Arabidopsis thaliana: one gene and its partner. The protein of the gene in region 1 interacts with the protein of each later gene in a pairwise test. Each region holds a gene or a part of one and is shown in the gene's direction. Other genes may lie near its edges. The genes, in order: ABCB23 and AT4G04760.

Region 1 (6,459 bases):
CCTAACGTAGGAAACTGCAGATATGTGCAAGAAGAGATGCTTTTAGTTCTACAGATTGCTCTTCTCTGCACTACAAAGCTCCCGAAAGACAGACCTTCGATGAGAGATGTGATATCGATGCTCGGAGAGGCTAAACCGAGGAGGAAAAGTAATAGTAATGAAGAGAACACTAGTCGTAGCTTGGCCGAGAAACATTCATCGGTTTTTAGTACTTCACCTGTAAATGGCCTTCTTTAGTATGAGATTTAAGAATCAAAAGAGGCCGATAAACTGATTCGTTCGATTCGTGTTCTGTATGTAGAAGAAAGAGAGAAAGAGAGAGAGATATGTATCTTTTGATTTAATTTTTCCATGTAGAATAAGTTTCCTTTGTTTTACATGATCATATTAACTTTGTGCATTGCTCTGAACCGTTTTGTTTTTGTGCAAGAAAGGGTTTTCTTATAGATTTTTAAAGTGTGATTTACAAAGAGAACATATAACTAACTAAAAGAAAAATGGCAGAGCCAAAAAAGAAACTGTAAAGGGGAGAGAAGAAGAAGAAGCTTCTTACAATGTTTTTGTCTTCTCTTTGATCTGTGATCTGTCTTATTACTGCTTCAAACATAAAGGGTTCTTCGTAGATTATTATTTGCTTCATAATATCATCTGAGCTGTAAACAAGGATCACACAAACACGGTCACAACGACAAAACAATGATTTTAATACAGATATCAGGATTTGATCGAATCAGTAAATGTACCTTTACCAGTAGCCTCCGATGTTTTCATTATCCGGAGCCTTCTCACTGAACCAATAAACATCCTAGACACAAGTAAAACTCAGGTTCAAACTTCAGAATTTGACGCTTACACGGGACAAAGCATCAAAAGCATAAGAACATATGTATGCATACCCCCACGGAACATCGCCAACAAGCATCCAATCTCCTTCCTTGTCTTCATACGTTAGTACTAATCCGGAAGACCCATCTGGTAGTATCTTGACCGGTGTTTCCATGTGACCATCGGTTTCTAGTGTGCGTGAACCTGATTAAAGAAAGAATCATAACTTCATTTCCCATACCAAGAACCAACTTCAAAGGAACCAAAAAAAAGGCCATGAGATTCGAAAAGCACACCTAATTTAGGTTTCAGAAACATTTCCTCTAGAGTGTTTGACAATGATTCATAGCATTTATGAGCATTCAGATCGATTTTCCTTCCAATAGGAATGCCATCCATAGTCACCTTAACAAACATGGAATTTCTCATCTTTGTTGAATCACTTCTATTCTTGTTTACGGCTTGACTTATCTCCAAGTTCGGATCTTCAGTGGCTGAAGCCTTAGCTTGGTTAACCATACTGTTCATTCTGTAAGTCCTTATTGGTGGCCATCCCACAACTTGCCTGCCATTTTCAAAGGTTTCAAATTGCTCAAATAAGAGTAAACACATAAAAAGGGTTATAAACACTTCAGGGCCTTGTAAAATCAGATACCAAGAGAATCACTATACAGGATTAATCACTTTCTCTCCAAAGCTAATAAATACTTTAGAATCCAAGAAGAAAAAAACTGTCATCTCTAGAAAACGATAGTAAGATTCAATTTGAAGATATAATGACCAAAGCAAACTATCTAATGATCAGGAAGATACATTCAAAGTCATCTATACGTAACAAAGGTCGAATCTTTTCAGATAACTGTGATCAAGGACATTCTGTCTAATCAATCCCATAACCATAAAAAGCAAAAATCAAATCTTTATTTATAGTTCTATTGATAATCATGATATTAAGAATCCCCAAATAAACCATAATTGATCAAAATGTAAAAGAGGAAAGGGAAGAGAATTTCACTCACCCACTAGTTGCAGCCATGGAATCAGCTGTCCTCTTGATCCCAGCAATTACGCTAGCTCTGCTCAGAGAAGAAGATGATGAAGAAGAAGAAGAATCATCAGCGTAAACCCTACAATCTCGATACCCTTTGCGACCAAGGCTCAACGTAAGACCAAGCTCAAGCTCATTCCCTATAGGAGAAGAAGAATCCTCACAAGAAACGACGAGATTTTCATCGTTTGACAAAGCCGAAGCCGATCCACTAGCGGAACCGCCTTCCATTTTCGACAAAACCAGAAGCTGAGAATTAAGATTTTGATTGTGAGGGAAGGGAGGAAAAAGAGATGGGTTGAATTTGAAGCAAAGATTGAGACTTTAAGTAAGGCAGAAACAGTGAGAAAGAAAAAGGGAAACAAAGGATGAACAAGAAGACACGACGGGTGGGATTTGTCTCTTTTTCACTTCCCTAACTTTTAGTCTTATTTCTCGCCCAATTTTATCATTTTTTTGATCCAATAATAAATTTCTCACATTATTCCGTGACTATATTTACTAGAAACTCTTTTTTTTTCCTTCTTTTAACAATATCCACTTATGTAAGTTTTTAAAATAAAATATGTGGACTTTTGGTATAATTATTTCAATTTTTCGTAAGTTTATATAGGGAAGTTTTACAATTATGCGAAATTCCGTTGTAATATATTTATAAACTTATAATCAATTAACGATAGGATTAGATGCCAAAAAATATAATGGACAACATGATTTTTCAAAATGTATATTATTGTATTAATGTTCAGATTTTTGTAGTTGGTATTTGACTCCAAAATCTGATATAAGATCGGATAGATTTCAAAGAAAATTTGATATCAAAACGGTAGTATCCGTGGTATTAATAAAAACATTTTTAAAAGGCTGGAAAATAAAATAAAAACAAAATTCATACAAATATATATTTTCAAGAAGTGGGGGCTCACATGTCAGCTTCATGGGATTCAATCGGACGGCTAGAAAAAGATTACTTAGAAGGCTTAGTGGGACCCACGTGTACAGAGAGGGGGGACTCGTGCCCACACGTCCTTTGGTCCATCCATCTTTCCAAATCGGACGGTGCTGATTAGTTCCGGTTTAAAGCTATTGATAGTTAGATACCATCACTATATAGGTTTAATTAGTATTTTAAAATCAAGTGGCAATCTAATCTTTAATCACGTAATTAAAATTGAATTTTTAAGGCAATAAAGGAGTTTAGCTGTCCATTTTTAGTGGTGTCCGAATAAAAACCCTGTCGTCTGGAGGGAAGACATAACCGACCGTTGCTTCTTTTCACTTTCCAAATAAACCGTTCAATTTTTTAATTAATTGCATATAGTAGAAGAGTTGAATTTTCGAAAGAGTCCATGTGAGAGAATGAATACTCTGAGATTCGCTGCGGTGTGTACCACCGTATCTGATTCTCTCAAGCCCAGTTGCAATCAAACCAGTACCGGTTATCTCCGAGATAGCTAATTTCATTATCTTAATAAAAACAGAAAACCAAAACCGGTTATTTCCGAGTTGATATCTTCTTCCTCGTCTTCTTGTTAAGCTACTCTGTAGTACAGAGAGAACAAAACAGAGAATTAAAGAATCGATTTAGACCAAATTGTATGTGATTCGTTCGGACAAGAAGCGATGATGAGGGGATCTCGGTTTCTCCTCTCTCGCGCTTCTCTGTATCACCGTCTTCGCTCTGATCATCACCATCACAGTTTCTCCAGTTTTATCAAACGTAGCTCAATTCAGAGATCACCAGCTATCAATGCATTCTTCACCGATCCATCTCCATCTCCATCTCCAGTCAACGCACGAGTCTTCTTCTTCTCAACTTCAACTTCAACTCCAAATCAAGATCAAACCAAAACAGCATCATCTAAGAAGATCCTCCGCACGATTTCAAGCTATCTATGGATGAAAGACAACCCAGAACTCCGATTCAGAGTCATCGCTGCTTTAGCGTGTCTCATAGGAGCTAAGTTCTTGAATGTTCAAGTTCCTTTCCTCTTCAAATTATCTATCGATTTACTCTCTTCATATTCATCTTCAACAATCACTGATTCAAATCCTTATCTACTTGCTGCTTTCGCTACTCCTTCTTCCGTTCTCATTGGCTATGGCATTGCTCGATCTGGATCTTCAGCTTTTAACGAGCTTCGTACTGCTGTTTTCTCCAAAGTATCTCTCCGCACAATACGATCTGTTTCTCGTAAAGTGCTCTCGCATTTACATGATCTTGATCTTCGTTACCATTTGAATCGAGAAACAGGAGCTTTGAATAGAATCATTGACCGTGGAAGTCGCGCGATTAACACGATCCTCTCTGCTATGGTTTTCAATGTTGTTCCAACGATCTTGGAGATATCAATGGTCACAGGTATATTAGCATACAATTTTGGACCTGTTTTTGCTTTGATCACTTCTCTTTCCGTTGGATCATACATAGCTTTCACATTGGTTGTGACACAGTATAGAACTAAGTTTAGAAAAGCTATGAACCAAGCTGATAATGATGCAAGCACAAGAGCTATTGATTCTCTTGTAAACTACGAGACTGTTAAGTATTTTAACAACGAAGATTACGAAGCGAGAAAGTACGATGATTTACTCGGAAGATATGAAGATGCTGCATTGCAAACTCAGAAGAGTCTTGCGTTTTTAGATTTTGGACAGAGTTTTATATTTAGTACAGCTTTGTCAACATCAATGGTGTTGTGTTCTCAAGGGATTATGAATGGAGAGATGACAGTTGGTGATTTGGTGATGGTGAATGGTCTTCTCTTTCAATTGTCTCTTCCTCTTTACTTTCTCGGTGGTGTTTACCGTGAAACCGTTCAGGGTCTTGTTGATATGAAATCATTGTTCCAGTTGCTAGAGGAGAGATCCGATATTGGAGATAAAGATACAGAGACAAAGCTACCTCCTCTTGTTCTGAGAGGTGGAAGCATCAGTTTTGAGAATGTACATTTTAGTTATCTGCCAGAGAGAAAGATTTTGGATGGGATTTCATTTGAGGTACCGGCAGGGAAAAGTGTAGCGATTGTTGGTAGTAGCGGAAGCGGCAAATCGACGATTCTTAGAATGATTTTCAGGTTCTTTGACACAGATTCTGGTAATGTTAGGATTGATGGTCAAGATATAAAGGAAGTGACACTAGAGAGTCTTCGAAGCTGCATTGGAGTTGTCCCTCAAGATACTGTAAGTTGCCATTTTGACTAGAATTGTTCTCTTACATTTTGTTGTTATTAGTCTAAACCGTGACAAATTAGGTAAAATGTTAGTTATCTACTTAGGGCTTATTGGAAAAATCTATTTAGGGTATTTTAAACTTTTTTGTTATTCAGTCACAATTTCTACATAAATCACATGCAGATGACATTTTACACTCCAAAAGTGATTCTGATTAAACCTGATGATCTTAATTTTCATTTTAATATCAAATCGATTTAATGGTTATAACTTGCATACTTAAAGATAAACTAGACTAATCATAGCCTCAATTGACTCCTGGAATTATGGCAGGTGCTCTTCAATGACACAATATTTCACAACATTCACTATGGAAACCTTTCAGCAACAGAAGAAGAGGTGTACGATGCAGCTAGGCGAGCAGTGATTCACGATACGATCATGAAATTTCCGGATAAATATTCGACCGCGGTGGGAGAAAGAGGGCTGATGCTGAGTGGTGGAGAAAAACAAAGAGTGGCACTTGCTCGTGCCTTTCTGAAATCACCAGCGATTCTCTTGTGTGACGAAGCAACGAATGCGCTTGATAGTAAAACCGAGGCAGAGATAATGAAAACGTTCAGGTCGCTAGCGAGTAACAGAACATGCATTTTCATTGCACATAGGCTGACCACTGCGATGCAATGTGATGAGATAATAGTAATGGAGAAAGGGAAAGTGGTGGAAAAAGGGACACACCAAGTGTTGTTGGAGAAATCTGGCAGATACGCTAAATTATGGACACAACAAAACAGTACACTGGAGGTGTGAATCTCAAGAGCTAGACAGCTAGTGTTTGGGTTCTGTTTTCGCCTCACTAATTCTTTTTTTTTGCTGACTTCCCTTATTTTTGGAATCATATATTTGCAAATATCATTGATGGTACTTTGTAGCCTTGTTACAAAAAATAAAACATATTTGTAACCTTGGGAAAATCATTTATAGTCGTAGAGGTACCAAACCGATTTTTTCAATTACCTTTTGACAAATCAAAAAGTTTCGTTATTCGGTTTTAAAGTAAGCTATTTGTATTACCTTTGGAATCATTGAATTGGATAAAAACCAATAGTCCTTGAAGTATCCGGTTCTCATGCCTAAAACACGTGGCAATCGAACCAGGACCGGTTATCTCCGAGATATCTAATTCATAATCTTATTGTAAACAAAGACTGGGGAGGTTATTAACAAGTTGAGATCTCCAAGCAAGAGGTAATTTTTTAATCTTATTCTTCTTCAGGTGCTATGGTACGAAACTGGATTCAGAAAGAGGTCGAGCAAAAAGTCAAACAGACGACTCTACAGAAATATAAGAAACGAACCAGACGAAACTGTATATGTTAGGACAAGAAGCAATGATGAGAGTTTCTCAACTC
Region 2 (6,459 bases), about 12 Mb from region 1:
GGCGTTTTAGGTGTTTTGCTTGTGGATATATCCGGAAGACGTTCTCTCCTACTGGTAAACGAAATTTAAAACTCGAAAAACCGAAAGTGTATAAATAATCGAATCGATAAGTTATTTGAAATTATTTGTTTTGAAGAAGATTAAAGAGAAGATTTTTTGAGTGATTGTAGTTTTCTCAAGCTGGAATGTTCTTGGGTTGTCTAGCAACAGCCATTTCATTCTTCTTGCAGGCATGTTTACTAGTCTACTAAACCGGTGGTTTGGTTTCAATTTTGAAAAACCGGAATGTAATCTTTTTTGGGTTTCTTACTCTACAGAAGAACAATTGCTGGGAAACAGGAACACCAATAATGGCTCTCATTAGTGTTATGGTAATTAATAATCTATCATCACAATAAATAGATATATTCAAAAGACCATTATTTAAACAATGCCAAAACTGTAACATGGTGTTTTGTGTATTTTATCATATTAGGTGTATTTTGGATCATACGGATTAGGCATGGGACCAATACCATGGATCATAGCATCAGAGGTTGATTAATCAATTTTAAAAAACTAACCCACTAACTAAATGTTAAATCATTATAACGTTACTATTATTTTTATTAGATTTACCCTGTAGACGTGAAAGGAGCAGCAGGAACAGTGTGTAACTTGGTCACCTCTATAAGCTCATGGCTCGTTACTTACTCCTTCAATTTTTTGCTTCAATGGAGTTCTACAGGTAATTAATCTTTAATACTCCCTCTGTTCCAAACTGATTAATTTTTTAGAAAAAAAAATATTTTTAAAAGATTGATATTTTAAGTTTTTCATACAATATTTATTGATTAGTATTGATGAATTGTAATTTAAAAAAAATTAATTAATTATCATTGGTTTAAAGTTATAGAAAACTGTAAAACACAAAAAATAATATATTTATATTCAACATTTAATATATTTTCTTAATATGTGTGTCTTTTCTACAAAATCAAACTTTAAGAAACATAAAGAATATATTTTTATTATATACAAAAAGGTTTTAACTATCATAAAGAAATATTTGAGAAAAAAAACTATAAAAAACAAATGATTTATTCCATAACATTATTGCAGGAACGTTTATGATGTTTGCCACTGTGATGGGTCTTGGATTTGTGTTCACAGCCAAGCTTGTTCCAGAGACCAAAGGCAAATCTTTAGAAGAAATTCAATCTGCTTTTACTGATTCTACTTCTGAAGATTCTACAATTTTCTAAGAGATAAAATAAAATTACCTTCAAACTTTAATTTCAGATCTCTTTATATTTCATGGGGTTTGTCTTTCTTTTTTCCATCGTATTTTTACGATTGGGTCATTGGCCTATAAATATTTATTAAATTGGTCCCTGAAAGGGATCTACAGTTCAACTGAAAAGCTTGGTTAAGGCATATATTATGATATATATCATGTTTATATGTTTTCGACGCAACAACAATATACAACCTGATAACCATAAAATTACAAAATCTTAATAGCATCTCTAATGATTGTCTCTATTTTTTCATTTAAATATAGAGAAAAAAGTTAAAAAAAAATTATTTTTACACTAATAGTTTTTGAAAAATAGAGATCTCTATTTGTTACAAAATTTTTTTTAGAAAAAGTAGAGATATCTATTTTTGAGATAAAAATAAATATGAATTACAGTGAAATAAAAACAAAATTAAAATATAAAAATAAAAATAGAGATGAGTTGGAGATACTCTAATTATAAAAAAAAAACAAATAGAATTGATGGAAAATGAGATCTTATGACGTGAAATGCTTGTTTACACATGTCTACAGCTTTTACGTAAGCGCATTTACTTGCATTTAAGATTGAAAAATATTTGAGAACCTTATATTCACCTCCTTTATTTTAGCCAATTAAAATCTGAAACCTAATAATAATAAAAAGAATTTTATTTAATTATAAAATCTAAGTTGCCACTAAAATGAAATTATGTATCGGTTTGGATTTATTAGAAAAAGTCAAGGTTTAAATTTTATGATTAAACGAGGTTAAATATCGGTTTGAGTTTGGAAAGTGCGATTAGAGTTTAGATTTGATGATTAAACGGGTTAAATATTAGTTTAAATTTATAAACAGATTTAGATTTTATAATTAAACGAGGTTAAATGTCAGTTTGGGTTTAGAAAATACGATTAGGATTTAGTTTTTTACGATTAAATAAGTTTTTAAATGGCGATTTAGGTTTACAAAGGAGAATTAGGGTTTAGATTTTGTAATTAAACGAAATTATATATTAGCTTGGATTTATAATTATAGGTTTAATTTATTATGTAATTTAAATAAGATTTAACATTGCATGTTTTTATTGGTTAATACAAAAGGAGCTGAATAAATGGGTGAACTCAAGTTTAATTCTTTAAGATTTCACATGTTTTAAATGAGTGAAAATCCAGACCAACAAATAAAAATATAGATGATTCGATTTTCAGAAGTTGGTAACAAACTTGCACGATCTAAGTGAATCCAAAACAATAGATAAAATATGGTTTTTAATAAAAACAATTAAAATAAAATATAATTATAGTTATAATTTAATTACCTATGTTAATTTTTTATATGTTTTCTTAGAACTAATATTATATGTCCACGAGAAAGAAACAAAAGCAAACACAATTTGTGTTTAGTTTTCAGTTCCGCTATTTTTGCAGTTTTTGCTCCACGAGACCAACAATCTTCCAAACTCGAAAAGGTTTGAGCATTTTCCTGAAGCAAATTTGATTCATAATCACAGATTTCTGAAAAATGGCAGAAGAAGGTTTATTATTACCAGCTTCTTCTACTTCTTCTTCTTCTTCACTTTTGTCTGAAATATCAAATGCATGCACGAGACCTTTTGTTCTTGCTTTCATTGTCGGTTCTTGCGGCGCCTTTGCCTTTGGATGCATTGTGAGTTTCCTAATGCGTTCTTGCATGTTTAATTTTTTATTAAACCTAATTAAAATGTTACTATTTGATTCTTTATGTTCACAGATTGGATATTCGGCTCCGACACAAACAAGTATCATGAAAGACTTGAATCTCTCCATAGCTGATGCAAGTTCAATCACTTTTTTATTTTTTTGTTGCTCTTACGGTTTATTCCGGTTTATTTCTGGTTCGATATGATCTTGGTTTTCTTTTCTTTGCTCAGTATTCACTATTTGGATCGATATTGACGGTGGGGTTAATCCTTGGAGCATTAATCTGTGGGAAGTTAACAGATTTAGTTGGTCGTGTCAAAGTAAGTTTCTTCTACTTAAGAATGATTAGTGTTTAAAACTTTCTTATAACGAATTGGATATGATTATACAATTATGGTTATTAATCATCTTTATGTGATTATTCTCTTTCTAACTAAGACTATATGGATCACAAACATCCTCTTTGTAATCGGATGGTTCGCTATTGCATTTGCCAAGGTTTGTTTCTTTCTGAGTTCTTTCTATAATGGTTTAGATTGTACTGTTTTTAAGTCGATATATTATTATAGTTCCTCAACTGTATCTTATTACTATTTTTGTTCTTTGACTTTTTGGTTACAAAGGGTGTTTGGCTGCTTGATCTCGGAAGGTTACTACAAGGGATCTCGATCGGAATTAGCGTATATTTGGTATGAGTGAATACTAAAACTAGAAGGGTTTGGTATTTTTTCTTATTTATGGTGTGACTTTTTGATTTAGAGGTAGCTAGTTGGTAATGTAGTTATGTAGCATTGAAACTTATTTGATATCTTGTAACTTGTAAGTTTTATGTTCAGATATATTTAGTTCTCTTTTGTAACAAATCTTATGATCTGATAATTATTAATTACAGGGACCAGTTTACATCACCGAGATAGCACCAAGAAACTTGCGAGGAGCTGCTTCTTCCTTCGCGCAGGTAAAACTCAAGAGAACCAAAAGCTTGGAAACTATTATAAGCATTTTCCTTCACTACAAGTTTTGAATGTTTTACAGTTATTCGCCGGTGTTGGTATATCGGTCTTTTATGCACTTGGAACCATCGTTGCCTGGCGCAATTTAGCCATTTTGGGTATGTTAAAAAAGACCGATTCTTATCGATTTGCAAAAATCGAAAACTTCTCATTTCTCGAAGTACAAGAAAATGTACTAATGGTTTTTCTTTGAACAGGATGTATACCTTCTCTAATGGTTCTGCCTCTTCTTTTCTTCATCCCCGAATCTCCTAGATGGCTAGTAAGCATTTGGTTATAACAAAAAACTTTTGGTCGAATATCTTAAAATCGTAAATCAAATAAACCAAGATGAAATTTGTTGGTAGGCTAAAGTAGGAAGAGAAATGGAAGTTGAAGCAGTTTTGTTAAGCCTGCGAGGAGAAAAATCTGATGTATCAGATGAAGCAGCAGAGATATTAGTAAGGACCTTCTAATCTACTGGGTTTCGGTTTGGCATCGAGTCCAGTATAATAAACCAAATATAAACCATGAAATTTGAATTTATGGGGACCAAAGATTCGAACCTCCAATTGAGGGTGAAACTGGACTTTAACTTCTATTTTTTGTGGACTAGGATTGCGATCCGAATTCTGTATAGTTATGGTGTTATATAAAACTTATTAGGGGAGACAGGTCGTTCATCCTTTTTGATTTTTTTTATAACATAAATTTCTAAACAATTTGATGATTATCAGGAATATACAGAACATGTTAAACAACAACAAGACATCGATGACCGCGGTTTCTTCAAGCTATTTCAGCGAAAATATGCATTCTCACTTACTGTAAGTAACTATTCAAAAAGGTTAAAAAAACTTCAAAATCTAGCATTATTTTGTTTGCATTTGCTTGATTTATATATTTCATTTGGTTTATATACAGATTGGAGTTGTTCTTATAGCTTTGCCTCAGCTTGGAGGTCTTAACGGTTATTCTTTTTACACTGACTCCATTTTCATCTCTACCGGTATATAATCCTTCTTCTTCTTGTTTCTCTTTATTTGATCTAACATAATGATATGATTACTTCATCAAATGGTCCTTAAATACTATCCGATGATCCAGGTGTATCGAGTGACTTTGGATTCATATCTACATCAGTTGTTCAGGTTATAGTTATACTAATACAATACCATAGAGCATGGTTAGACAAAACTCTTTCCGTATAATATTCTATACACTTTTTGACCAATCATTTTTGTAGATGTTTGGAGGCATTTTAGGTACTGTGCTTGTTGATGTATCTGGAAGACGTACACTCCTATTGGTAAAACAAAATTTAAAACTCGTATCCGAAATCGATATGTTAATTTTGTTAGGTTTTCGAACAAAGTTTAGGAATATATTTTGAGTGATCATTGTAGGTTTCTCAAGCTGGAATGTTCTTGGGTTGTCTTACCACAGCCATTTCATTCTTCTTGAAGGCATGGTTACTATTCCATCTACTCTACTAAACCGGAAATTAATTTTGGTTTGTTATACCGGACCTTAAAATTACCGGTTATTTCGTTCTACAGGAGAATCATTGCTGGGAAACAGGAACTCCTGTCTTGGCTCTCTTTAGTGTTATGGTAATTAATAAGGGTTTTAGGATTTAGAATTTAAAATGTTTTTTAGATATAAAGTTTTAGACTATTTAAATTTGAAAATCTAAAATAATTTTCTGATTTTAATTTTCTAATTTAGTGTTGAATTTTCATAATTTTCCCGTAACAACTGTATTTTGATTTTTGATTATTTATTTTATTAGGTGTATTTTGGATCATACGGTTCTGGTATGGGATCAATACCATGGATCATAGCATCAGAGGTAAATAAATATTTAAAAAAAGTTTAAAAATATATCGCAGACATTTAAATTATGTTACACTCATTATAACAATTATGTATCGCATACATCTAGATTTTTAAATCATTAGTTCAATAACACTGAATTTCATTAGAGTTTTTAAAATCCGTGATTGAATAACATCGGATTTGTAAATTTTACACAAATAACTTAAAATACTAGATTGAATACATCCCTCTTAATGTTTTTATTTTCTTTTCAAGATTTATCCAGTAGATGTTAAGGGAGCAGCGGGAACAATGTGTAACTTGGTCAGCTCTATAAGCGCATGGCTTGTTGCTTATTCCTTCAGTTACTTGCTTCAATGGAGCTCCACAGGTAAAAATCTTTAATACAATTGAACTAAAGTTGACAAAAAGTTGATTTGGTTACAATTTCTGAATTTTGAAAAGAGAGTTGTTAACTAAAAGTCTTTGTTGCAGGAACATTTCTGATGTTTGCCACAGTGGCTGGCCTTGGATTTGTGTTCATAGCCAAGCTTGTTCCAGAGACCAAAGGCAAATCTCTAGAAGAGATTCAATCTCTTTTCACTGATTCTCCTCCTCAAGATTCTACAATTTTCTAAACTTCTCCCACAACTGTATAAGATAGAAGTATGTAAACAAAAAAAGTTTATTGCAATATAGTTTTTACGT

Evidence for each region.
Region 2: the proteins of ABCB23 (region 1) and AT4G04760 interact in a protein complementation assay, tested with the Arabidopsis thaliana proteins (one large-scale study listed by BioGRID).

Annotation. Positions count from the first base shown.
Region 1 is NC_003075.7:14,137,933-14,144,391, reverse strand, and holds ABCB23 (ABC transporter of the mitochondrion 1), read left to right. Parts: upstream 1-3,337; 5' UTR 3,338-3,496; coding exon 3,497-5,056; intron 5,057-5,380; coding exon 5,381-5,857; 3' UTR 5,858-6,071; downstream 6,072-6,459. Other genes in the region: AT4G28650 (Leucine-rich repeat transmembrane protein kinase family protein), read left to right, coding at 1-237; IAA11 (indole-3-acetic acid inducible 11), read right to left, coding at 464-648, 744-805, 897-1,029, 1,122-1,390, 1,845-2,104; ABCB24 (ABC transporter of the mitochondrion 2), read left to right, coding at 6,439-6,459. UniProt on the Arabidopsis thaliana protein: Performs an essential function in the generation of cytoplasmic iron-sulfur proteins by mediating export of Fe/S cluster precursors synthesized by NFS1 and other mitochondrial proteins.
Region 2 is NC_003075.7:2,421,381-2,427,839, forward strand, and holds AT4G04760 (Major facilitator superfamily protein), read left to right. Parts: upstream 1-2,783; coding exon 2,784-2,927; intron 2,928-3,011; coding exon 3,012-3,074; intron 3,075-3,171; coding exon 3,172-3,261; intron 3,262-3,379; coding exon 3,380-3,439; intron 3,440-3,564; coding exon 3,565-3,630; intron 3,631-3,833; coding exon 3,834-3,899; intron 3,900-3,976; coding exon 3,977-4,052; intron 4,053-4,151; coding exon 4,152-4,216; intron 4,217-4,301; coding exon 4,302-4,394; intron 4,395-4,670; coding exon 4,671-4,760; intron 4,761-4,857; coding exon 4,858-4,942; intron 4,943-5,040; coding exon 5,041-5,084; intron 5,085-5,179; coding exon 5,180-5,242; intron 5,243-5,339; coding exon 5,340-5,399; coding exon of another isoform or gene 5,400-5,404; intron 5,405-5,492; coding exon 5,493-5,546; intron 5,547-5,725; coding exon 5,726-5,785; intron 5,786-6,027; coding exon 6,028-6,142; intron 6,143-6,246; coding exon 6,247-6,389; downstream 6,390-6,459. Other genes in the region: AT4G04750 (Major facilitator superfamily protein), read left to right, coding at 1-54, 171-230, 318-371, 476-535, 613-727, 1,102-1,244. UniProt on the Arabidopsis thaliana protein: Sugar transporter.